7 linked regions of the Macaca fascicularis genome follow. The protein of the gene in region 3 interacts with the protein of the main gene of each other region in a pairwise test. Links are inferred from orthologs where the notes say so. Each region holds a gene or a part of one and is shown on either strand. Other genes may lie near its edges.

The links.
Region 1: the proteins of KRT15 (region 3) and CCDC120 interact in a two-hybrid assay, tested with the Homo sapiens proteins (2 studies listed by BioGRID and IntAct). The link is inferred for Macaca fascicularis from reciprocal best matches to the Homo sapiens genes KRT15 and CCDC120.
Region 2: the proteins of KRT15 (region 3) and AMOTL2 interact in binary tests that used the Homo sapiens proteins (3 or more experiments, as listed by UniProt). The two-hybrid records come from large-scale screens. The link is inferred for Macaca fascicularis from reciprocal best matches to the Homo sapiens genes KRT15 and AMOTL2.
Region 4: the proteins of KRT15 (region 3) and LDOC1 interact in a two-hybrid assay, tested with the Homo sapiens proteins (2 studies listed by BioGRID and IntAct). The two-hybrid records come from large-scale screens. The link is inferred for Macaca fascicularis from reciprocal best matches to the Homo sapiens genes KRT15 and LDOC1.
Region 5: the proteins of KRT15 (region 3) and MOS interact in a two-hybrid assay, tested with the Homo sapiens proteins (2 studies listed by BioGRID and IntAct). The two-hybrid records come from large-scale screens. The link is inferred for Macaca fascicularis from reciprocal best matches to the Homo sapiens genes KRT15 and MOS.
Region 6: the proteins of KRT15 (region 3) and NUP54 interact in binary tests that used the Homo sapiens proteins (3 or more experiments, as listed by UniProt). The two-hybrid records come from large-scale screens. The link is inferred for Macaca fascicularis from reciprocal best matches to the Homo sapiens genes KRT15 and NUP54.
Region 7: the proteins of KRT15 (region 3) and PSMA1 interact in binary tests that used the Homo sapiens proteins (3 or more experiments, as listed by UniProt). The two-hybrid records come from large-scale screens. The link is inferred for Macaca fascicularis from reciprocal best matches to the Homo sapiens genes KRT15 and PSMA1.

Annotation. Positions count from the first base shown.
Region 1 is NC_088395.1:49,224,088-49,227,564, reverse strand, and holds part of CCDC120 (coiled-coil domain-containing protein 120), read right to left. Parts: intron 3,211-3,477; coding exon 3,070-3,210; intron 2,670-3,069; coding exon 2,375-2,669; intron 2,004-2,374; coding exon 1,941-2,003; intron 1,579-1,940; coding exon 1,404-1,578; intron 1,286-1,403; coding exon 1,187-1,285; intron 1-1,186. UniProt on the Homo sapiens protein: Centriolar protein required for centriole subdistal appendage assembly and microtubule anchoring in interphase cells. Together with CCDC68, cooperate with subdistal appendage components ODF2, NIN and CEP170 for hierarchical subdistal appendage assembly.
Region 2 is NC_088376.1:37,267,084-37,270,583, forward strand, and holds part of AMOTL2 (angiomotin-like protein 2), read right to left. Parts: intron 3,015-3,500; coding exon 2,701-3,014; intron 2,111-2,700; coding exon 1,890-2,110; intron 1,326-1,889; coding exon 1,146-1,325; intron 373-1,145; coding exon 314-372; 3' UTR 1-313. UniProt on the Homo sapiens protein: Regulates the translocation of phosphorylated SRC to peripheral cell-matrix adhesion sites. Required for proper architecture of actin filaments.
Region 3 is NC_088390.1:62,554,406-62,557,095, forward strand, and holds the end of KRT15 (keratin, type I cytoskeletal 15), read right to left. Parts: intron 2,499-2,690; coding exon 2,278-2,498; intron 1,437-2,277; coding exon 1,411-1,436; intron 883-1,410; coding exon 785-882; 3' UTR 501-784; downstream 1-500.
Region 4 is NC_088395.1:147,494,884-147,499,175, reverse strand, and holds the start of LDOC1 (protein LDOC1), read right to left. Parts: upstream 2,801-4,292; 5' UTR 2,692-2,800; coding exon 2,251-2,691; 3' UTR 1-2,250. UniProt on the Homo sapiens protein: May have an important role in the development and/or progression of some cancers.
Region 5 is NC_088382.1:66,085,278-66,088,165, reverse strand, and holds MOS (proto-oncogene serine/threonine-protein kinase mos), read left to right. Parts: upstream 1-1,143; 5' UTR 1,144-1,227; coding exon 1,228-2,268; 3' UTR 2,269-2,388; downstream 2,389-2,888.
Region 6 is NC_088379.1:57,757,215-57,760,714, reverse strand, and holds part of NUP54 (nucleoporin p54), read right to left. Parts: intron 1,069-3,500; coding exon 961-1,068; intron 1-960. UniProt on the Homo sapiens protein: Component of the nuclear pore complex, a complex required for the trafficking across the nuclear membrane.
Region 7 is NC_088388.1:51,236,940-51,240,944, forward strand, and holds the start of PSMA1 (proteasome subunit alpha type-1), read left to right. Parts: upstream 1-1,205; 5' UTR 1,206-1,308; coding exon 1,309-1,311; exon of another isoform or gene 1,312-1,698; intron 1,699-2,649; coding exon 2,650-2,694; intron 2,695-3,701; coding exon 3,702-3,803; intron 3,804-3,929; coding exon 3,930-4,005. UniProt on the Homo sapiens protein: Component of the 20S core proteasome complex involved in the proteolytic degradation of most intracellular proteins. This complex plays numerous essential roles within the cell by associating with different regulatory particles.

The sequences.
Region 1 (3,477 bases), on a different chromosome or scaffold from region 3:
TAGAAATGCGTGGGGGAGGCCTGGCACTGTTAGCTCCAAGAGAGGTGTAAATCTGTGTAGGGACTCAGAGGAAAGGCTAGCAGAGTAGGTGCCGGGCAGGGGGCTCTTCCTAATCCAGCTGACCCCTCCCCATGCTAAGGCCCTTCTCACGGCTCCCACGGCCTCCAGGATTGAGTCCTAGGCCTTAGGGCCCACACGTAAAACCCTGCCTGAATTCTCTATCCAACCATATGTATGAACCACCCAAAGCTACCATCCCAACAGCCACCATTCACAGAATGCAAGCCGGGGACTTGGTTTTGTTCAGAGCCTGGGGAAAGTAGGCACTCTGTTTAAGAAGCAGAAGCAGAAGAGGACAATGGTTAAAAGCATGGACTCTAGAGTAAAACTTGCCTGGGCTCAAACTCCAGGACTTCAGTTTACTAACAAGTTACTTAACCTTTCTGTGCCTCATTTGCCTCATCTATAAAATGGGAATAACAATAGCACCCACCTCACAGGGATCTCATTATGATTGAATGAGTTGGTGCCACTAATTCCTAGCAGGTGGCAGACACTCAGTATATGTTAACCAGAACTTATTATGTCCATGTTTTTCAAAGGCAGATACTATTATTTCCATTTCACAAATGAGGAGACTGATTCAGAAAAGGAGAATGGCTTGTCCAAAATGCACAGAAAAGCCCATACTCAAAACTTTGATGCTTCTGCCCCAAATCTCTACCCCATTATCCACCGAGATGCCTGCTCACTTTTAACTCCCAGCCTCCCATGTCCCACATCTTTTGTTTTTTTGTTTTGAGATGGAGTTTTGCTCTTGTCGCCCAGGCTGGAGTGCAATGGCACAATCTTGATCTCAGCTCACTGCAACCTCTGCCTCCCAGGTTCAAGCGATTCTCCTGCCTCAGCCTCCCAAGTAGCTGAGATTACAGGTATGCCCCACCATACCCAGCTAATTTTTGTATTTTTAGTAGAGATGGGGTTTCACCATGTTGGTCAGGCTGGTCTTGAACCCCTGACCTCAAGTAACCCGCCCACCTCGGCCTCCCAAAGTGCTGGGATTACAAGCATGAGCCACCGCGCCCAGCGATCCCACACCTTTTGATAATGCCGTCCTCAAGCTTCCAGTGAGAACTAATGGTTCCCTCCCCTCTGATCCTCCAGGCCACCCTCAGATTCCCCTTACTTGCAGAGCTGGGGGCCAGCGCCCCGGGTGAGGACTGGGGTGGCAGGCACACTTCGCCCCTCAAAACTGGAGGCACTCCTGGGCAGCGAGCGTGTGGGGCTAGACAGTGACAGGCAGGCCTAGGTTAGAGACTGTACCCACCAGCAGACCCTCTGCCAGCCCAGGCTTACTATCCCATTCCCAGCTCCTGCGGAGGGGAGGAGGGGCTCATTCTCACCTGGTGGGGCTGGCCACAGAGTTCCGTCGGCTCTTCAGATCCCCGTAAAGATCTGATGGGGGTGGTTTCCATGGGGTTCGCCGCTCAGGGCTCCCCCCGGATACTGTCCGCAGCTGGTCCCAAGCCTTGGGTGGTGAGGGGCGCTCGGCCAGAGAGAAACAGCCATGGGGCTCCTCTGAGTGGAAGAGAGCAAGTGGGATAGAATTCAATGAGGGGGGCCCAGAGGGGGCAGGACAGGCTCGTGGGCAAGGCCATGGGGAGGGGCAAAGTGCTGGGACAGGTTAAGCAGACTGAGGAGGAGCTAAGGCTGACGAGTAGGTTCTGGGGCTGTGGGGCTGGGGGTTGGGGTGGGGTGAGGCTAAGAAGATGGGGGACCTACAGGAAGATGGAGCATAGCTAAGGAGAAGCTGAAGCAGCACAGGAGGGGCTGGGCATCAAAGGATGGGCTGATCATGCAGGATGTGGTCGGATGAATAAAGGGGATGGGCTGAGGGGACATAGGAGTCGGGGGCAGGTTTGGGGGACAGGAGTCCTCACCGTTGTCATGGCTGGCCCCAGACTCTGAGAGGGAGCTGCTCTCTGAGTGCAGAACTACGTCCTCTATAGGTGAGAGGGGGAGAAGTGTGCCTCTCACTCCCAGGCCTGGGTGCCGCCCCCTTACACCACTGGGTGGGCACCTCTACTTGGGCCACCTTCTGGCCAGTTTCCGCCTCATCCTGTTCCCTTCCCAAGAATCTGCTTTTACCAGAGCCCAAGACCACCCCAGCTTGGTTCCTGACTGTCCGGGCAGATATTCATCAGTCTCCCACAGTTTGTCCTTTCCGGTAAGCCAGTTTGTCACAACTCTTCTCACGGGTTGGGCCACTTGAGCTGTGCCTACCTCCCGGTTTTCACTGGCCACTCAGCCATCCCAGCCCTACCACGTTCATTTGCCAGTGTCCACTCTCCCACCCTCTCCAGGGGATGCTCACCTTGGCTGAGCTGAGTGAGGCGCATGCCCAGGCAGACTCCCTGGGCGGTGATCACTGACCCCGTGGACAGTGGCAGTGGCTGGGGCAGCGGGAGCACTGGGAGGCCAAGGCGGGCCCGGACATCCCCGAGCTGCTCCTCTAGCTCGTGCAGCCTCCTCAGTGCGTCTGCCTGGACCTGGCGACGGCGCCGGCGCTGCTCGGTGCTCAGATCAGGGGCCAGGGCCAGGCGACGGGCAGCTGCCGCGATCTGCTGCTGCACTGACACCTCACGCTCCAGGGCCTCAAGAGCCAGCTCCTGTCAGGCCCACCCAAATGTTGGAAATGGCCAGGAACAGGGACCTGGTGGGGCCAAACCCACTAGAGGCTGGCCTGTACTTCCTGCAGCCTATTCAGGCCTATTCACCTACAGGTGGAGCTTATTCACCTGGGGGAGGGGGCGGGTCAGGGTGAAGGGCTGGGTCGATTCATCTTCCTGAGGGTGGGAGGCCTGTCCTGACAGTTAGGGACCAGCATCCTCCCTCATTGCAGGAACCTACCTCCAGAAGCCCTTTTCCTTCTCAGCTTAGCCTTTCCCTCACCTGGCCACAAGCTCCCTCACCTGGCCACAAGCCCCCCTCCCCACACCTTCCTCCTGGCTACTCCTCTGTACCTGTCCCCTCTCCCCACCCTCTTGCTCTCCACACCCATCTGCTCACCTCAGCAGGGCACAAGGAGTGGTGTGCTTGGTTGGGGTGTGGTGGAGGGTAGGCACGGGCTGTGGGGGGCCGCCGGCGGACCAACTGGGGCCGTTCACCAGGCTCTAGTGGGCACTCAGGGGGCAGCTGGCCAGTCAGCTCCTGGTGGGAGGCAGGGGTCAGAGACTACCAAGGGTTAGTTGGAAGGATGGGGTGAAGCATTAATGATCCCAGAAGCCACAGAAGTCCTACCAGGAGCCTGGCCCGGCTCAGCACCCATGCATGATACTCCCCTCCCAGTATTTCCACCAGGCAGGTGTGCCCAAACTTCAGTGGCCCAAACCCCTGGGGTGGTGGGCATGGGAGGCAGGGAAACCTGCTTTGGAATCCAGAATTGTTTCATTTTTATAAAGGGGACACTATTGAGAT
Region 2 (3,500 bases), on a different chromosome or scaffold from region 3:
ACCTTTCTGAGCTGTCAGTTGCTACCCCAGTAGCAGGCCTTGGGCAACAAGTCAAGGCTGAATCCTCATTCTCCATAAGGCCGGGAGGAATGTGGGCTAAGAAGCAGAGTCTTCTGGGGGTGCTGGTGCTCTCACAGTTCTCCTCTCCCCTGGGGTCCTCCTCCTGAGCTCCTGGGGCCAGATGGTCAATGGGAATGAGAGTCTGGCTGGGGAAAGGGACAAAGCAGCGGCTGACAGGCTGCTGAAATGGCTGAGAGTGGCACAGGGCAGAGGAGGGGAGAGAATGGCTCAGAGTCCTGAAGCACCACCTCCTTCAGATCAGTATCTCCACCATGTCTGACAAGTCCTGGACTCTGGATGTAGCTACAGAGTCTGGAGAGAGACAAGAACACAGGCACATGCCAATGAGTGTTACTAGATTGCTTTTAAAATCCTGGCACATTTTAAATACAACGATCTTTCTTCACCAACTTTTCCCACCTCTGCTGCCCAGGTTCCCAGAACTTGGCCAACCAAGCACAATGCTCTGCACCCTCTCAGTGCTCAGCCCAGCCCACCAACCTCCGATGTGTAAGATGCATTTGTTTCTAACTTTGAACTGGTTGGAGGGCTTAGACAGAGCAATGGAGAGCCTGAGGGAGGGAGGCTGCAGCATTCTTTTCATGCCTGTGGTTTTCTGAGATCAGGAGGCACAGGCAAATATGCAAAGGCCAGTGTGAAAGGGGAGTGGAAAAAGAAATGGCATCTTCTCAGATTTCTCTTTCCCGGACTCTCAACAGGCTTCCAGAGTGCCATCGGCATGACTTGCAAGCTCCATTCTCTTGGATAATCAAATTGGAAATTAACTATGTAGGGAAGACCATGAAAGAGGAGCTTAAGTGCCTCCCATCTGGTTGCTTTCTTTCTGAATTCTGGATCTGCCTCTAATCAGGGTTTCCAATTTCCCTATTCATGCAGCCAGCCACCCTTCATGTTCACAGTGAGGTGGGCCAGGCACGCTGCTCACCTCTGGCTATGCAGGGCTCCCCATGGAGTACAGGCAATGACCCCGAGGGGGCTGGGAAGAAAAGGCTTTGGTGTTCCAGTTCACACCCCAGTGCTCCCCTGGCCCTGCCTAGCACAGAAGTGGGGTCAGAAGGACTTACCCAGAGAGGCTGCTCTCTGGCTACTGCTGCACCCCAGAAGGCTGTCAGGCTCCGGTGGCAGGCAGGTGGAGGTGCTGTCTGGGGGGCCGTCAGTCTGGGTGCTCCCATCTCTGCTCCCGTGTTTGGCATGGGCAGCAGGGGGAGGTGTGACCACTGGCTCCTCTGTGGGTGCCCTGTCTGCTGGGAAGGTAGGTGGATGGTTATTGCCACACCTGTAAGATGTGGCCCTGGTGAAGGACACTGTAAGTTAACTGTCCTTGCTGGGGATTCAAGGTGGAGTGGGCTGCTCTTGATCTGCAAGAACTTTAAGACTAAAAATGCTCCTATTTTAAAATGGGAATGACTACCAGATTGGATTGGCTTCCAAATGTTTTGGGTGGTGGGACCCTTCTTTGTAGATTAAATCTTCTAGAGTTTCTGTGGCATCTGCTTAGAAGGAAGAGTGGAGGGGGCTTGCATAGAAGGTGCATCTGCACAGGAAGCTCTATTTTTCTCAGTTCAGTGGCTGGGGCTAAAGCATGATGGAATTTACGGCGATGGGGACGAAATACCCCTCTTCACACTGGCAGGAGAGCCATGGGCTGTAGAGTCACTGGAGGTAGAGAATAAGCCAGCTCCCCTGGGAGACAATCAGGAAGCCCTGGCTCCCATGAGCCTCAGTTCTGGGAGGAAAGGTCTGGCAATCTGTGTTCAGGCCCAGGAGAAACTACCTCTCAATCTATCCCAGCAGCAGCCTCCTCTTACCTGTAGTCAGCCGAGCAGGGGCGTCCGCTGCTTGTCGCTCACTAGAAGAGAGCCCTTGCCAGCCCTGGGTTCCTGCTGCCGCAGCCACGAAGACAGATGGCACCGACTTGGCAGGCCGTAGGGAGCCCTGGGTGGCCTTGCCAGGGTCTCTCCTGGAGCGCTGCTGAAGGACCTTGATCACTGCATCCTTCTCCAGGATCTGGGCATGGAGCACCTTTAACCTGAGGGGTGAGAGGCCATGCCCACACTGTCAGACCCATAGATCCAGCCACCCTTCCCGCCTCATAGGAGTTAGAGGAAAAGCACCCCCCCTCCCCTAACCCGGCCAGGCTGGATCTTTCTGTGCTTGTAGCAGGGACCTAGAGGGGGCTTAGAAATGGTACCACAGCTCTGGCATGTGATGCCCTTAGAGCCCAGGCTCTGAAAACCACCAGTGCATAAGGCCCTGGGCCCTTCCCACACCAGGAAAGGCAGGCCATCAAGGGTGGGTTCCAGAGTCATCAGATGATAGTGGAGGCACAGCCCTCATCCTGGAGGGCAGCACTCCGGAGAGAGGAGGCAGGGCCTAAGCCCTAAACGGCACCCAACACCTCCACAGTAAGAGTCTCCTGGGTAGACCAAGGACTCGGTATTTCTAGGCAAATGCAAGTTTACAGCGCCTGGTGTGCCAAGCATGCAGGTTCAGCTTGCTTGAGGGACTGCTGAGCTGTGTGGGGAAAGCGGCTTGTTTATCAGGGATCAAGGGCAGGGCAGTGACTGGACATTGCCACCCGCCTCCCAAACCTCAGGTGCCTGGCCTGCAATGCCGAACCTGCTTTCCATCTCCTGGTGCCTGTGGCCACCAGTGAGCAGACCCTCATTGAAGCTGCTGCTGGGCGAGGGCTGCGGGGAGTGTCGGATGAGAGTGGTGTCACGCTGGGCAGCAGCCGTGGCAGCCGCATCCATGGCAAACTGCCTCATGGCACGTTCCTCCAAATACTTCTGTTCCCACTTGGTCATGTCGGCCTCCAGCGCCAGGATCTGCTCCTCCTTCTCGCGCAGTTGTTCTGACAGCCGAAGGGCGCTGAGCTCTGGGGACCCGCCACTGCCACTGCCACTGCCACCACCTGGGGTGCCTGCCTGTCTCTGCAGAGCAAGGAGTGGAGACCGTGGTCAAGGGTGGAGGTTGGGGTGCGGCAGCCACTGGTCTTCGCCTCCACACAAGGACTGTCACTCTTACATGTGCGTGTTCGGCCATACACAGCATACATTTCCCCATCCTTCCTCTACCGAAATGGGGGTACAGCACAGGTCCCCATACCCCTGCCCTGAATCCTATGGCCAAGGGCATAGAGACCAAACAAATAATCCTCCGAACTGGCAAAGGGGGTGCTATCAATAATTATACTGGGAAAATTGGTGTAAATTAGAACAGAACTGGGCAAACCGGGGGTTCAGCCATGCTAACTCTGTCACAAGGGTAGGTTTGGGAGTGGAGAAATAGCTATTTGGTTTGTAAACACCAAGAGTTGTTTACACAGAAGTCCAAAGTGAGGTTAAGCACTATGGATTAGGGCAACCATGTTTCCTCCCAATCTCAGGGAGGCATATAAAAGCTGGCTGGTGGCTGGG
Region 3 (2,690 bases):
GCCCTGCTGCTTATCATCCATCCACAAGGCCCGGGGCAAGTCATTTTTCTCTCTGCCTCCAGTGACCTCATCTCTAAGGTGGAAATAATAAATCCCGACCACCTACAATGGTGAGGATTAAATAAGCCCCCTGGGTGAGTGTGTGTGGCATCATGCCAGTCATGGGGTGGTGAACCAAGGCAATCAATGCAATCAGTCACTTGGTAAATATTCATAATTATAAGATGTGTCGAGTTCTGTGCTGGGTACACCAAACTGTTCTTAGGGAACCTTCCCACCTTCACTTCCCTGGTCACCCCATGGTGACCCAGAAGAGCAAATCACCTGAGTAGCACTATGTTTGCCCCAGCCACCAGTGCCCTGGGTACCCAGAAGAATTGTGGCCATGCAGGGAAGAGACCAAAGTAGGGGGAGATGTCACCACGTGGACCCTGGGTCTCCTCAGAGGTCAGAGGCCAACCAGGACCCCATCAACAAAAAATGGATATACTACCAAGAGATATTTGCAAAAGGAAAAGTAATTCTTTATTGCATGAACAGACACCATACAAATGAGCTTGTTACACAACGCAGCTGCTTCTGCACCTCCTTGCTCTAAAGAAGGCGGGGAGAGGTAGAGGGGGAACAGAGCGCATGCAAAGCCCTGAAATAAAAGACCGAGGGACCCTTTTCAGCTCTCTGAAGGCGGGGACTGGAGTTTGCACGTTCAGGCCCCCTGGCCAGTCCTCCACTTGGCCTGATGAGAGTGGGGAGTGGCAAGGGATGTTTCTCCTGCAATGGGCACTTAGATTTCTCTCTTGCGGGAAGAAACCACCTTTCCATCCACTGACTCCTCTACGTTGATGCGGAAATTGCTGCTGCTACCACCACCTCCAGAAGAGGCTAGAGAGAGAAGGAGCAGGCTTTAGAGTGGGGGAACCTCCCCTCTCTCCCAAGGTGGCCAGGACCTTGGCGAGGCTCTGGGAAAACTAGACAGCAGCCCTGAGAATGGCCACTGGCCAATCCCTCAAGAGCTGCCAGAGATCTGGTGTTGAATTGCTCATCACAGAGACAGGCAGTGGCAATGGCAGGTATGCCCAGCAGGGACAACAATGTCAGGGCTTTTCAAGCTGCACGTGAAGGGGGATGAATTGTGGGCATCTTATTGGAAGTGTATGAAGATGGGGCCTGGGGAGAGACAGGCCCTGAACGAAGCCTACTCAACCCGGAAGTTTCTCAATAAATCACCAGCCCCAATCTCACCTGGGGCTGACAGGAGGTCCCACCGGGGAAGAGGCATCTAATGGAACGGGAATGTTCCCACCTAATGGGATGTTTGGGCTCTTTTTCCTTCCTCCCTATTCCGAAGGGAGTGGTGGCTTCAACATCTCCCCTCCCCACCCCATACCAGAGGAGTGAGGCCCTTCCTACCTTCCCTGATGCCAATGTCAGCCATCCTGAAAGAAAGAAAGAAGCTGATTTAAGCAAAGGGCACAAGCTCAGGTGTCTCTAAGGGAAGCTCATGTAGATGCTATGCAGTCCTCTTCAGACCCTACACCACCGCCACCCACACACCTGACCCCTCTAGAGGTGGGACATCCTGCTAACGCATCCAGGCCTGCTACCCCCAAGTAGACAGAATCTTTTTTTTGTTTTGTTTTGTTTTTTTTGTTTTTCGGGGGTTTTTTGTTTTGTTTTGTTTTGTTTTTGAGACGGAGTCTTGCTCTGTTGCCCAGGCTGGAGTGCAATGGCACGATCTCGGCTCACTAAAACCTCTGCCTCCCGTGTTCAAGTGATTCTTGTGCCTCAGCCTCCCCAGTAGCTGGGATTACAGGCACCCGCCACCACGCCTGGCTAATTTTTGTATTTTTAGTAGAGATTGGGTTTCACCATATTGGCTATGCTGGTCTCTAACTCCTGACCTCAAGTGATCCACCCACCTCGGACCCCCAAAAGTGCTGGGATTACAGGTGTGAGCCACCGAGCCCTGTCCAAATTGTGAACTACAAGAATACCCATCTATTTCATGCAGAGAATGGAATGAGCACTAGATCTTCACTACCACTAGCCCAGCCTCTATCATTTACAGAAGAAACATGGATCCAGAGAGAGGAAGTGACCTGCCCCAGGTAACAGCCAAGGACCAGAGTGCAGAGTCCAGATCCTCCCTCCTTGCTCAGTTCTCTTTTCACAGCCCCTCAAGGCTGCTTAGGGACATCCTGCCATTCCCTTAGGATGACCATGCTCCGCAGCCACAAGCAGCCCTCATCACTCCTGCCCCGGTGCCCAGGCGCCTACTTGGCATCCTGGCCCTCCAGCAGGCTGCGGTAGGTGGCAATCTCCTGCTCCAGCCGCGTCTTTATGTCAAGCAGCATCTTGTACTCCTGGTTCTGAGCCTCCATCTCGCATCGGAGCTCACTCAGCTGGGCCTCCAGGCCACCGATGAGCCCCTGGATCTGCTGCAGCTGCGTGGCATAGCGGCACTCTGTCTCAGCCAGCGAGTTCTCCAGCCCAGCTTTCTGGAGGAGTGACAGATGCATAGACACATCAGACTAGAAAGGAAGCCACTGAGGGCAAGCGGGGAGGGGGCACTGAATGGAGTTCAGGGAACCACCTCTTGAGGGGGCTTGAGAACTCCAAGGCTTAACTAGCCAGGAAGGGTGGGAGCTTCTACCACCCGAGAGGCTGGGATGAGGCGAGGGTGGCTGTAC
Region 4 (4,292 bases), on a different chromosome or scaffold from region 3:
TACTCACCCCTGTCCCCACCCTCCAGAAACAGCTATCCTAGGTGTGAGATATAATTCCTACCCTGAACTTTGCCTGTTCACCACGTAAACAGCTTTGTTTCTTGCTTCATATAAGACTTCAAAAAGTAAATGGGGTCTTATCATGCTCTCATTTCCATTATCGCTGAACCTGCTCTGCTCCTCTTTACGCTGACATTTTCCTACTAAAGCCACGCTCAGAGCCAGAGACTTGCTTCCTGAGAATTCTGTCCCCAGGCCCAGGAGTAACAGCCCATGGTTTACTGAGTGCTCACCATGTAGCAGGGAAAGTTCTAAATGCTGCATGGGTATGATCTCATATAATCCACACCTATCAGGTGATTAATATGAAGCCCCATATCTCATTTAATCAACACTGAGGTTTACCAGTACAAATGAAATATCTTGCCTCAAAAGGCCTTAAACAGTAAGGAAATGTGTTATCTAAATTAATTAAAGGTTATAAAGTGAAGTTGGCTCCAGACATGGTACAATGAGGGAGGACATCTGGACAGATATAAATGAGAACTCTGAACCCCTCACATCCTCCTAAACCTTTCTAAGAGGTAGTCCTGTCAAATCCCCAACCAAGCTGCTCTGCATTAAACATTTCAATGACTTAACCTGGGGCAATGGCCTCACACAGGTATGCAGTTTCTTCTCAGCAGCCACCCCCTTCACTGCTCTGAACCCTCCAGGCCCAGAGATCTCAGCATAGCCCCCAGATAGCAGTACAAAGTCTGATTTAAGAGATAACCAAGCATCTTGCTAATTTCCATAGGGAGGAATCTGGGACACATCTATGAGTGGAAATTCTAAGGATGTCTGCCCAAGGAGGATGAAATGTTTGTTAAGATCAGGGTATATCTTTATGGATGCACTTGCCCAGGATCTGGGACTTAATGTTAGCTAGAGCACCTGTAAGTGACATGTTGGCTATTTGGAGTTTGAAAGTGACAATGTACTATGTTGGCTCTCTGGAGCCTGAACTCAACAGCTGCATATAGGCAATAAGGATTAAGGGGCAGAACTTCCCTGGCACAATATTAAGGAATCCAAAAGCTCAGAGAATTAGGAGCAATACATATATATGTCCTGGTTTATGCCTGTTGTTATGGTCTAATTATTAATACTGCCCTCTTTGCCATCTGCTCAGCCAACCCTTACCCATGCCACCCTGGAGGACCCAGAGAACACACCCTTTGCCAGGGCTTTAAGAAATGCGTTGGTGAAGGAAGCATCAGAACCCTGACAAAGCCCTGAGGTAGCTGTCCCCAGCAGCCTGGAGTTGACAGCAGGGATTCCTAGGATTGGTTGTATTCCCTGATTTCCATGGGAATAACGGTAGTCACAGTGACAGTTCTAGAGGTCAGTGATAGCACTTAACTATTAAAAGACAGTCATTTCGTTTTTTAGTGCTTGATATTTATTGAAAATAATGCCAATGCTTTTTCCAGGTAGTATTGAGGAGCTGGGCTGAGTGCTTGTTTGTTTTGTTTTTAGTACTATTTGTCCAAATGCATACATCTGTGGGACTGCTGCAATTTTGAAAGAAAAATGACAGCTGTGTAAAACCAGTGCATAGGAAAAAAGAAATATCAACAATTTGGCTGTCAGGCACACCGCGCCCCTGCAGCAATCTGGTATGGCAGGGGAGGACACTCGGAGTAGGTAGAAAACTAACCAGGCTGAATGATTGGCCTCTTCAGGGGTTGGTGAGCTGTCCAAATCAATGTCCGAAGAGGCAGAGCCAACTCTGGCATTTTCCAGGTTGGTCCTGATCTCGAAAGGCGGTAGTCTGTAGGTGGGATGTGGTGAGTGGATGTGAAGTGGCAGCATAGTTCTCTGGGCAGATGTAAGCCTGGCAGCAGGGCAGGTGGCAGCAGCAGGGCTATGGGTGGTCTGCGCAGTTTGTAACAGGGGCCTGGCCAATAGCTGGGGTTCAGGACACAGTTCAGATTAGCAGGGGAGGGATCCCCGGGATGGCCAGGGTAGATGACACTTCCAAGCACTTCCGAGTGAGTGAGGCTCCAGCCCCAACCCCAGCAGCAGGTAACTGGAGCACTATTCCTGGAACAAAGACAAGCACTACGGAGAAATGAAGAAAGAGCAGACGGGCGCGGGTAGGGAAGGGGACCGGAGGGCAAGGGGGAGAGCAGTGGCTCCTGGCGGGGTGAGGGCTGCGGGGAGGGGGTGACGGCGTGCAGGGCCCTCCCCCCGAGGCCCGAGGGCCTAGTAATTATCCTCTTCGTCCTCGTCGTCGTCGTCTTCGTCGTCATCCCAGCCAAAGCACTGTTTCATCTCATCGAGGAAGGCTCGGTAATCACCTAGGATGGGGCTATCCATCTCGATGTAGGGCACCACCCACTCCTCGGCTTCCCCGGTGAGGAGACTGATTAGGAATGCCACCTTCATGGCGTCGTTGCAGAATCGGTTCTCGTTCACGAGCATGTAAGACGCTGTCTGCACGATAAACTCGGGGAGCCGGGAGCTCTCGCCATTAAACGTTTCGGGGAAGGGCACCGGGCAGCTCGGCGGACGTACCTGGCGCAGCAGGCTGGCCCTCTCGCACACCAGCAGCCGCAGCTGTTCCATGAGCTGGCTGTTCTCGATGGTCAGGGCGCGGTGCCGCATCAGGAGCGCGTGCAGCAGCAGCACCAGCTCATCCACCATTGCGAACAGCCTGGAAGGACAGGGCTCGGCTCGGTTCGGCTCGGCCAAGGTGCGCACGGAGGCCTCGCAGGAAGTGCGTGTCCACGGAGACGCTCGATGGCCAGGGGCTGGGGGCGGGGGGCGGTGCGCGCCGGGGTCCGGGAGGCTACGCAAGCTCCGCCCACGAGGCCATTCGGACGGATGGTGCGCCGGCGCGGCGCGGGAGGGGCGTGGCCAGACTGGGGGCCGCGGCTGCGTGGGGGCGTGGCCGGGATGGGAAGGGTTTAGACAAAGAGGGCGTGGCCAGGAAAAGGATGCACTGGGTCGCTGAACCACCGGCTTGTGGTAGGTCTCTAGGCGGGCAGTTAAAGGCTGGGGTAGGCTCCCCTAGCTCCTGGTTGTGGGGCCTGCGTTAGCAGAGGACCTGGCGAGCGCTGAGTTTGGTCTCAGAGAAGGCAAATTTGTTCAAACTGAAAGGATTAGCCACCCTTCTACCTAGGCAACTCTCACAACTCAGTTGTTCCTTCGTGGGTCTGTGGCCACTAGATTCTCTTGGCGTGATGTTTTATTAACACATTTTCTTTCTTGTTTAAATCTCACTCAGAGAAGTATTGACACTGCTGGCTGCACTGTGGGACTCACACTTCCTTTTAGGATCATGAAGACCTTCAGGGGTTCCTGCCTTTCATGAAAAAGGCAGTATTTAAACAGTGACTTCTTTAGTAGGGGAATAATACGGCATACTCCCTTAAAACAAACAAACAAAAAAAAACAAACCTAAGTAGCAGGATATAAAGAAGTTTTGCAAAATGAGCATCCAATAATCAATTGCAGGCATCCCACATATCTTTGATTCTCTATTTCTTGTCCTGCTGTTAGTGCCTTTGGCCACTGGGTTTTATTCTGTACTTAAAAATGAACTGTTAAGATGTTTGTGTTTTTAAATAATTTTGTTTTTCTACTTTAAACGGATCCCTGATCCTAGAGCCGACAGGAATTGTTGGCTCTGCTTTCAAATATATTGCCAATTCAGTCATGACTTGTCATTTCTACCACTGCCACCCTGATCCCCAGCCTTTCTCACCCAGACTGCTGCAACTAATCACTTAGCTTTCACTCTTTTCTTCCTATAGTATATTCTCCATAGAGTAGCCACAGGAATCCTTTAAAACAAAAATTAGGGCCGGGCGCGGTGGCTCACGCCTGTAATCCTAGCACTTTGGGTGGCCAAGGAGGGCGGATCACGAGTCAGGAGATCGAGATCATCCTGGCTAACAGGGTGAAACCCTGTCTCTACTAAAAATACAAAATATTAGCGGGGAGTGGTGGCAGGTGCCTGTAGTTCCAGCTACTCAGGAGGCTAAGGCAGGAGAATCGCTTGAACCCGGGAGGCGGAGGTGGCAGTGAGCCGAGATAGCGCCAGCGCACTCCTCCAGCCTTGGTTACCAAGCGAGACTCCATCTCTAAAAAAAAAAAACAAAAACAAACAAACAAACAAACAAAAACAGTTAGATCCCTTCACGCCCCTGCTCAAAATCCTCCAGTAGTTTCACCTCAGAATAAAGAGCAAAGTTGCAGCCAAGGCCTACAAGGCCCCTCCTTCTATCCTGTGCCTCTTCCCA
Region 5 (2,888 bases), on a different chromosome or scaffold from region 3:
TCCCGCCCCAGCCTCCAAAGTAGCTAGGACTACAGGAGTGCGCCACCACACTCAGCTAACTTTATTATTATTTTTTGTAGAGGCAGGTCTCAAATTCTTGGCCTCAAGTGGTCCTTCCACCTCAGCCTCCTAAAGCACTGGGATTATAGGCATGACTCACTGCACTTGGTAGAAAATTAATTTTCATTATAAAAATCAGAAAGGAAGAACTTGTTGTTTGATGGCCAATACCCTGAATTTCATTCCAACTTCTGGTTTTCTACATTATATGTAGGTACTAGTGATTTTGTGCCATTTTTATTTCTTCAGATTTTTCCTCTTCTACAATTCTCCCATATGTGTTATTATTTGAAGCCCTGATCACAGCTCTGAATCATTCTGTTCTTTTTTCTCCTCCAACTCTGATTCAAAACTTCTGTAACTCGTTCACTGCAAAGTCTAGAATCTCTCTTGCAAGTGAGCTGACCGGGTGGGCCAAATCGCCTTGAAAGGGAAGGATTGTTACAAAGTCAATATGTTGCTAAGACGTCTTGCTAATTTGCTGTGTAAGTTGCATAGACTGTCAGGGGATTCTCCTTTCCACTGATGAATTTAGGTGTGTGTTATGACCTGTATCAGTGATTCTATTTGGATTGATTAACGTTGCAATTTTTTATCCATATGAATGTTGCACCTAGTTTTTCCCTGTAATTGGTTAAACAAATGTCTGCTGTTTGCATTTCAACTCTCAGCCAATAACTGCTGGAAGTGATTTAATGCAGCTGGAGAATGACACTAACAATCATTATAGCCTGCAAAGTGTGAAACAATTTCATTGTGCTTTGTGGTCTCTTTAGTCTGAGGACTGATAATGTGCAGCGGATGTGACTTGAAAAAAAGTATTTCATTATAGTTAAACAAATAATGTAAAAGAGGGGTGAGTTCTGGGGCAGCTCCATGCTGTTTATCTGGCATGAGCTTGTTTTTATAAGAATTCACTTCAAGTGTGGAAGGGAAATGCTTTCATCTGAAAGGGATTGCTGTGCTTCATTCCGGTTTCTCCCTCCATCTGATAAAAACTCTTGCTGAGTGACAGCACAGATGTAGCTCATTTGAAACAAATGAAGGAAAAGGAGAAAAGGGATAGGGGTGGAGCCAAGGAGTAGTCAGTCATGTTTCCAAAGTCCCGCGGTTTCCCCTGGTCTTTTCATTCACCCCAGCGGCCCTGGTGTCCCCCTGCGAAGTGCGATGCCCTCGCCCCTGGCCCTACGCCCCTACCTCCCCGGCGAGTTTTCCCCGTCGGTGGACGCCCGGCCCTGCAGCAGTCCCTCAGAGCTCCCTGCGAAGCTGCTTCTGGGGGCCACTCCTCCTCGGGCCCCGCGGCTGCCGCGCCGGCTGGCTTGGTGCTCCATTGACTGGGAGCAGGTGTGCTTGCTGCAGAGGCTGGGAGCCGGAGGGTTTGGCTCGGTGTACAAGGCGACTTACCACGGTGTTCCTGTGGCCATAAAGCAAGTGAACAAGTGCACTAAGAACCGACTAGCATCTCGGCGGAGTTTCTGGGCTGAGCTCAACGTAGCAAGGCTGCGCCACGATAACATCGTGCGCGTGGTGGCTGCCAGCACGCGCACGCCCGCGGGGTCCAACAGCCTAGGGACCATCATCATGGAGTTCGGTGGCAACGTCACTTTACACCAAGTCATCTACGGCGCCGCCGGCCACCCTGAGGGGGACGCGGGGGAGCCTCACTGCAGCACTGGAGGACCGTTAACCTTGGGAAAGTGTCTCAAGTACTCCCTAGATGTTGTGAACGGCCTGCTCTTCCTCCACTCGCAAAGCATTGTGCACTTGGACCTGAAGCCCGCGAACATCTTGATCAGTGAGCAGGATGTCTGTAAAATTAGTGACTTCGGTTGCTCTGAGAAGTTGGAAGATCTGCTGTGCTTCCAGACACCCCTTTACCCCCTTGGAGGCACATACACCCACCGCGCCCCGGAACTCCTGAAAGGAGAGGGAGTGACGCCCAAAGCCGACATTTATTCCTTTGCCATCACTCTCTGGCAAATGACTACCAAGCAGGCGCCCTATTCGGGGGAGCGGCAGCACATACTGTACGCAGTGGTGGCCTACGACCTGCGCCCGTCCCTCTCCGCTGCCGTCTTCCAGGACTCGCTCCCCGGGCAGCGCCTTGGGGACGTCATCCGGCGCTGCTGGAGACCCAGCGCGGCGCAGAGGCCGAGCGCGCGGCTGCTTTTGGTGGATCTCACCTCTTTGAAAGCTGAATTCGGCTGACTGAAAACCTGCGTCAAGATAAGCTTGTGTCTGTTTCTGTTTGTTTTTAAAGGAAGTGGAGATGTCGAAGAAAACATATTTGTGGGATGGAGTTTTAGAAAATAAAGTTACTAAAAACTCCTTTAGTCTCCAATGCTTTTTCTACGACACATAGCAAAGCCACAAATCTAGTACCTGTTGTCTCAGTACTGTTAGTAACTAATCTTATTCAGATAAGATTAGTGCTTGTGCTTTGCCCTCCATTGATAGTATTTCATTTATTCAAATTTGTTACTGATAAAACACTTTGTCCAAAACAGAACTCCACTGCAGAAATGTCAAAATTTTCTATAAATCCATATATATCCCATACCTACCACATAAATTCCAACTATTAACAGTGTACTTGCTCCCACACCAAATCAGTAAAAACTTTTTAAAAAATAAGTAATGCTTTCCTACTACTCCCCCCAGTAAAACTTCTTGTTTGTAATGACCTTCACACATAAAAGTCATACACTGAGGTACATTTACAGTCAAAGGAATTATAACTGACTTATTGTAATATTTTTAACTTGTGCAATGCAATGAGTAGAGACATTTTACTAAAACACTTCTAAACTGGGTCATTTTTACCTGGT
Region 6 (3,500 bases), on a different chromosome or scaffold from region 3:
GTCTTTTGCTCTGCTTTTCCCTTCTTCTAGTTGATGAGATGCTTAGTAATTTTAATGGTCTTTTCGAAGAAACAGTTTTACAATTTATTCTTTCCACTATTACATTTTTTAGTTTTTCACTAATTTCACATTTATCTTTCTTTCTTTTTAGTTTCTTTTGGCTTATCTTGATATTCCTTTTCTAATTTGAGTACTCAGTTCCTTTATTTTTCACATTTGATCTTTTAAAATGAGATTTTTTATGACTGTAAATTTTCCTCTGAGTACAGATTTGGCTGTTTCCCATTGGTACTGGTATGTAATATTTCTCTTTCCATGATAGTTTATAATTTCAGTTGTTATTATTCTTTTAATTCCTCTTGTTAATTTGTAAATTCTATTGTTGTTTTTCGACCATTATGGTTACACTCCTTTTTCTAGCACTCAAAATAAAAAATTTTCTGAACTATTTTATGAAATTTATGAGACATCGATAATCTCACAGCTGTTTCCCATTGGTACTGGTATGTAATATTTCTCTTTTCATGATAGTTTATAATTTCAGTTGTTATTATTCTTTTAATTCCTCTTGTTAATTTGTAAATTCTATTGTTGTTTTTCGACCATTATGGTTACACTCCTTTTTCTAGCACTCAAAATAAAAAATTTTCTGAACTATTTTATGAAATTTATGAGACATCGATAATCTCACAGAAGCTTCCCTTGCACTAAGATACTTTATTTCTTCACTGCTTTCCCTCAAATTCTCACTAAAATATGAACTTTAGGATATTTTTATTCTCCTCACTCAACCCTATGAGACCTGTTTTCCAATTTCAAAGTTCTACTGAAAGAATTCAGTACTTCTAGTTTCACATTATTATTTTAGTCTTTTTTTTCTATTTAAAAAATCCATATTTAGTACATTATTTCACATACACAGCCTTATAAACACTGGGGGAAAAAAATCCAAATTACTACCTGTAAAGTTCTATGGGAAAGATCCATGAGTTTCCTCTTGTATTGCGCAATTTTGGCTACAGATGTAGTTTGATTCTTTTGTAGCTCACTAATATCTTCAGATATGATCTGTTTAAGAAAAAATTGGGGGGGTGTTAATCAAATACCACAACTATTTATCAGTTACACCTGTATGGAAATTCTAATCTTGGGATAAGCCGGAGATGCATCCCTCAAAATATAAACTCTTTCCCTACAAATCTATGCTTATATTTCTTCCCTTTTTACATACCTAAAAATTTTTTAAAAGAATCATGCAAAGATATCTTTACAGCTCTAGGAAATTTAGCAATGAGGCAATACATAGAAAAAAATAAGCTGGGCATGGTGGCTCACACCTGTAATCCCAGCACTTTGGGAGGTCAAGGCGGGCAAATTACTTAAGGTCAGGAGTTCAAGACCAGCCTGGCCAACATAGTGAAACCCCGTCTCTACTAAGAATACAAAGAAGTAGCTGGGCGTGGTGGCGCGCACCTGTAATCCCAGCTACTTGGAAGGCTGATGCAGGAGAATCACTTAAACCCAGAGGACGGGGCCGAGATCGTGCTACTGCACTCCAGCCTGGGCAACAGAGTGAGACTCCATGTCACAGAAACAAAAAACAAAAAAAAAAGAGTGAGACTCCATCACACACACACACACACACGCGTGCGCACACACACACAGCTGGGCACAGTGGCTCACTCCTGTAATCCTAGCACTTTGGGAGGCCAAGGCAAGAGGAGTGCTTGAGACCAGGATTTTGAGACAAGCTTGGGCAACATAGCAAGACCTTGTCTCTACAAAAAATAAAAAATTAACCAGGTGGAGTGCTATATGCCTGTAGTCCCAGCTCCTTAGGAGGCTGAGGTGGGAGGATGACTTGAGCCGTGATCACACTCCAGCATGTAGGGGTTGGGGGGAGGGAGGCGGAGAGAGAGGAAATTAAGGAATTTGAAGTAATATGGAATACAGCCAACAACCAGGTCTGAATGGAAGAAGTTAAGATGTATAAGATGATATCTAGGGGGTGTCTTAATAGACAAGTAGCCCTGTATGTAACTATTGACAGAAAGTACAGTACATTTCAACATTAACTGTTACAGAATACTTGGAGGGAGTCATCAGAGTGCAGAGGAAAAGGAGTGATATTAATGATGCAGCAGGATACATTTTTATGCCTCTGGATGTTTGACTTGCTATTTTACCTGACTGAAATCCACTATTCTGCCTTAGGAAGTCTTAACCTTACAGGGTAGGTTAAAACCTCACTATTTTATTAAAGCATCCCAATCAGAATTAATCCCATAATTGTCTCTATCATAATTAATCATTCTATGTCACTGGCTTATATTAACATGTTATAAGAAAGAGGATAAGACGATTGTGCAAGACATATTTTAGCACATCTACCTGCGCACATCACCTTTTAAAGAAACTTTCCAATGCCATGCCATGCTGAAAGGACAAAATTAGGTGGTCATGTTTTATATTACATAACCTAGGCAATCTCCCATCCCAATTTTGAAAAATCACCAGGGTTTTTAGATACAAGAGTACTTACGACATTATTTCCTACCAGTAATAACTAAAAAAATTAGACATGTTATCAGTCACAGTATTTACTAACAAATACTAAAACCATCTAGGAATTGACTCAAGCAAGAATGCTCAAGATTTTAAAAGGGAATATTTAAAAATTATTTTAAAGGACATAAAAGACCACAAGGATTAAAGAGACAAACCACATTCATGGATGAAATGATTTAATATTAAAATTCAATTCTCGCAAATGAGTCTTTGCATCTAATGCAATTCCAACCATAATTCTAGCATTCTGACAAATTGATTCTAAAGTTTTTATGGAAGAATAAAGATCCATAAAGACCCAGAAAACTCTGAAAAGAAGAATCAAGATTAGAGATTCATTCTACTAGATATTAAGATACACTACAAAGCCCTAACACTAAAAAATGTGGAATGGGTGGGTATAAGAACAGACCAACTGACCAATGATACATAAGAGAGGGTCTAGAAATAGATCACATATATATGGAAACTTAGTGTAATTTAAATTCTTTGATAATCATTGAGGAATATCACATTTTTATAGGCAATATTAAAAATATGGACCCACTATTTAGAGAAAAATAAATCTGGGTTCATACCACATACTTGATATAAAGGTAAACTCCATGATGACAACAAAAGACTCAAATGTGGAAGGTTAAACTCTAAATTTTTTTAAATGTAGGATACTCTCAGAATTTAGGGTGAAAAATTATTGAGGCAAATTCCCAAAAAGAAAACACAAGGCAAACATTTAATGGATATCATTACATTAAAATTAAGGATTTCTCTTCAACTACAGACACCAAAGACAGAGTTAACAGAGAGATGAGAAGAAGATATTTACAATGTTAAGTTCTGGACAAGATGAACTAAGTACGTGCAACCCCAATCTTCCCATTTAATACAGCTATAAAACTGGGATGGAATACATGGGGCAGCTATTTTGAGGA
Region 7 (4,005 bases), on a different chromosome or scaffold from region 3:
TTGGCCAGGATGGTCCGATCTCCTGACCTCGTGATCCACCCGCCTCTGCCCTCCAAAGTGTTGGGATTACAGGCGTGAGCCACCGCGCCCGGCTTTTTTTTTTTTTTTTTTTTTTTGAAACAGAATCTTTGTCGCCCAGGCAGGCTGGAGTGCAATGGCGCGACCACGGCTCACTACAACCTCGATCTCCCGGGCTTAAGAGATCCTCCCACTTCAGCTTCCCGAGTAACTGGGACCACAGGCGCATGCCAACATGCCCAGCCTTTTTTATTTTAGTAGTATTATTATTATTGTAGCGACGAGGTCCCACTGTATTAAAATAATATAGTGATCTCGAACTCCTGGGCTCAAGCGATCCTCCGCCCTCGGCCTCCGATAGTGCTGGGATTACAGGCTACCGCACCCAGTCTCTTTTTTTACAAAGAATGTAAATAGCCGGTGGATGTTAGATTGGCAGCTGTTTGCAAAGATGTCAGACTATTTCATTACGGAAAGATGCTCTCAAAAGACAAAATAGGTAAATCGAAAGAACGTGTCCATTTTTTCTCAGTGGCCTAATCAGGTATCATGCTTGGTTTTGAGGACACAGAAAGACAGCGCCCTCATGGAGTTCAAAGTCTGGTGGAGGAAACCAATCATAATAATAATGAGGGGTTAACGACAACAGAGCCTTGAAAGATAACATCTCCAGGGAATAAGGAAGAGCATTCCAAGGTATTTTGCCAAATGGCAAAAACCGCGGTTACTTTTGCACCAACCTTAATACAAATAAAAGCATGTACACAAACAAGATACTCGAGGAAGAATACGGCTGACACACAGAAACGGATCGTTATCTTGGGGCTTTCCTGCAGCCTCGTTTCTTTCAGTCACGTAACACCCCAAAATCTGTGGACGGTGAATGAGAGCTAGTATCACCCGGAGTCACGGCTGTTGCCTCGTAAGACTTTAGATGCAGCCCGCCACCGGGAGAAACTGGAGGGAATCCGCAATACACAGGAACCAAGAAGGGCTACGTGACAGAGGGTCCCCCGCAGCTCTCAGCCGCCGGCACTCCCAGCCCTGGGTTTCCCGCCAATCTCAGTTACTAGATCTTCCCAGGCTCCGCCCGCCGCCGAGCGGTCGGAGAGTTTTAAGGAAGGGGAAGTGTTGCAAGCCTATCGATATCTCTGGAATAGACTGCGCTACCCTGCGCCGCCGCCATCAGACTCCCGCAGACTTCTCTGTAGATCGCTGAGCGATACTTTCGGCAGCACCTCCTTGATTCTCAGTTTTGCTGGAGGCCGCAACCAGGCCCGCGCCGCCAACATGGTACGTTGAATCCCGACCTCTGGAAGGTTTAGGGCAGAGCTCCGGTGACTGGGGGATGACGAGCCACCTCTCCTGTCATCCTTAGCGCCGCCCGGGGCCACGAGGTATGGGAGCCTCGGCAGACGGCCGGGCTCCGGCAGTGATTCAGCATCTCCGGCCTGGCCGGGCTAGGGGCTGTCGGTAGCCAGTGCGGCCTTTCCACCGCTTTCGCTTCCCGGGGAGCCTCCGACACTTACTCCTCTGTCAGCTAGATGAGTTCGCCCCTCAGGTTCCTTCAGTGGAGTAGATTCTGAGCGGTCCAGAATAGCCCCTAGTGCTGTGTATGGGAGAGGAGAAGACAGAGACTTGGAGGCCTACCTGTACCACCAGTGCGGACTTGACCCCCAGGTTTGTGTTCCTGGACCGCGTCCATTTTCCTGGTGGGTCCGTCTGATTTATCTCTCCCCTAGACTTCGGTTAGAAGAGGCCCTTTTCAATAATTTTGTCCAGTCACCTATTTACAGATGAGTAAGCCGAGGCTGAGAGGGGAAGTGATGGAATCTGGGTTACAACATAGGGTTCTGGGTTTCCAGTGCTGTGCTCGCACTCAATCTCACTCCCGTGATTAGTCTCCCCAGCACTGCTAGACTTGTTATAATAGTCATAATAGCCGTAATGGTTCTATCGCTGCAGCTGTTTGTGTCCACCTCTAACTTTCTGAGGACATTTTTGTTCATTCAATATGAATATACAGACAGAGCATTTGTACAAGCATAACTACAGTGAACGTTCAAAAGTCATACATGTCCCTAATCATAAAAGCAGAAAGGGACGTTTAGATAAAGAACTGTGGGAGTATGTGTTAGGGGGATTTGGGAAGAAAAGCTAATCATAAAAACAGAAAGGGACGTTTAGATAAAGAACTGTGGGAGTATGTGTTAGGGGGATTTGGGAAGAAAAGGAGAAGACTTCCAGAAATCGACATTTAAGCTAACTTAAAGAAGAGAAAGGCTTTTAACCATTTATTAGGTCCCAATAAAAGGGAGCAGCATAAGCAAAAATAGGCAAGAAAGTTGATTGTGAACTTTAGTAATTGAGCCTAAAGGGATTGCTATGGATGGTTTTAGAATAAGAGGTTGGAAAAATAGGACCCATTTAGATCTGCTTCTCCCTCTCCCACCAGTTTATGGTAAATGTAGAATTGGCTTACGTCTGAGTACAGTAGTAATCTTCCAGTAAGATTGCATGAACAGAGTGCCTTAACATTGAATGGAAACACAAGCATATTTCTTAATGAATGTTAGAGTTGGGATTTGAAATGTTCTTCTATTAACAGGTCTTTTTTTCTTTTACTTTTAGTTTCGAAATCAGTACGACAATGATGTCACTGTTTGGAGCCCGCAGGTAAAATAATGTTTTTTAAACTATTTCTGTGAAATGGCTTTTTGTGGCTGCAATATATTTAGAAGCTTGTGAGAGCATAGGCTTGGGGAAAATGGAATATAATATTTTAGTCGTTCTTGGAAGTTGCATTTATAATTAAAATAGGTCTCCTAATGGACCTAGAGGACATTATGTTAAGTGAAATAAGCCAGAAACAGAAAGAAAAATATTTCATGCTCTCACTTATATGTGGAATGTTTTGTTTAAAAGAGCAAATATATATATAGAGAGAATAAAACAGTGGTTACCAGGGTAGGGAATAGCAGTGGGGAGGAAAAAAGAGGAGATACTAAGTATCAAATATGTAGGTTGAGCAAGTGGAAGGATCTAAGGTACAACATGAAGACTACAGCTAATAATGCAGGTAGTGTTTTGTATTCAGGATTTTTGCTAAGTGAGTAGTTGATAGCTCTTGCCACAGCAGAGGAAAATGGGTAAGTATGTGAGACAATGGATGTGTTCATTCTGCGATAGTGACCCTACTATATATGTGTATCTTACAACATCATGTTGCATACCTTAAGTATATACAACAAAATTTATTTTAAAAGAAGCTTTTGGCTAGGCGCAGTGGCTTATGCCTGTAATCCCAGCACTTTGGGAGGCCGAGGAAGATAGATTGCTTGAGTCTTGGAGTTCAAGACCACCCTGAACAACATGAAACCTGGTCTCTACAAGAAATACAAAAATAAGCTGGGCGTGGTGGTGCCTGCCTATAGTCCCAGCTACTGGGGACGGTGATTTGAGAGGATTGCCTGAGCCCAGGAGGCAGAGGTTGTACTGAGCTGAAGATTGTGCCACTGCACTCCAGCCTGGGTGACAGAGTGAGAACCTGTCTCAAAAAAAAAGTTTCTTGATTTAAAAAAAAATCAGTTGAGATTTAACTATGCCCACCTGACATTTGAAAACTCTAATTTTTAAGTTATAAAAGGCCTTCTAAGATGTGGTTTTGTTTTTTTTTTCTTTAGGGCAGGATTCATCAAATTGAATATGCAATGGAAGCTGTTAAACAAGGTTCAGCCACAGTTGGTCTGAAATCAAAAACTCATGCAGTGTTGGTTGCATTGAAAGTAAGTAAAGTAATAAATATGTCTTCCTCTGTAAAAAACTATTAATGTAAATTTCACCATAGACAGTGAGGTTGTAAACTTATTTTTACATTTTTTTTTTTAACATCTTATAATGTCTCCATTTAGAGGGCACAATCAGAGCTTGCAGCTCATCAGAAAAAAATTCTCCATGTTGACAACCATATTGGTATCTCAATTGCGG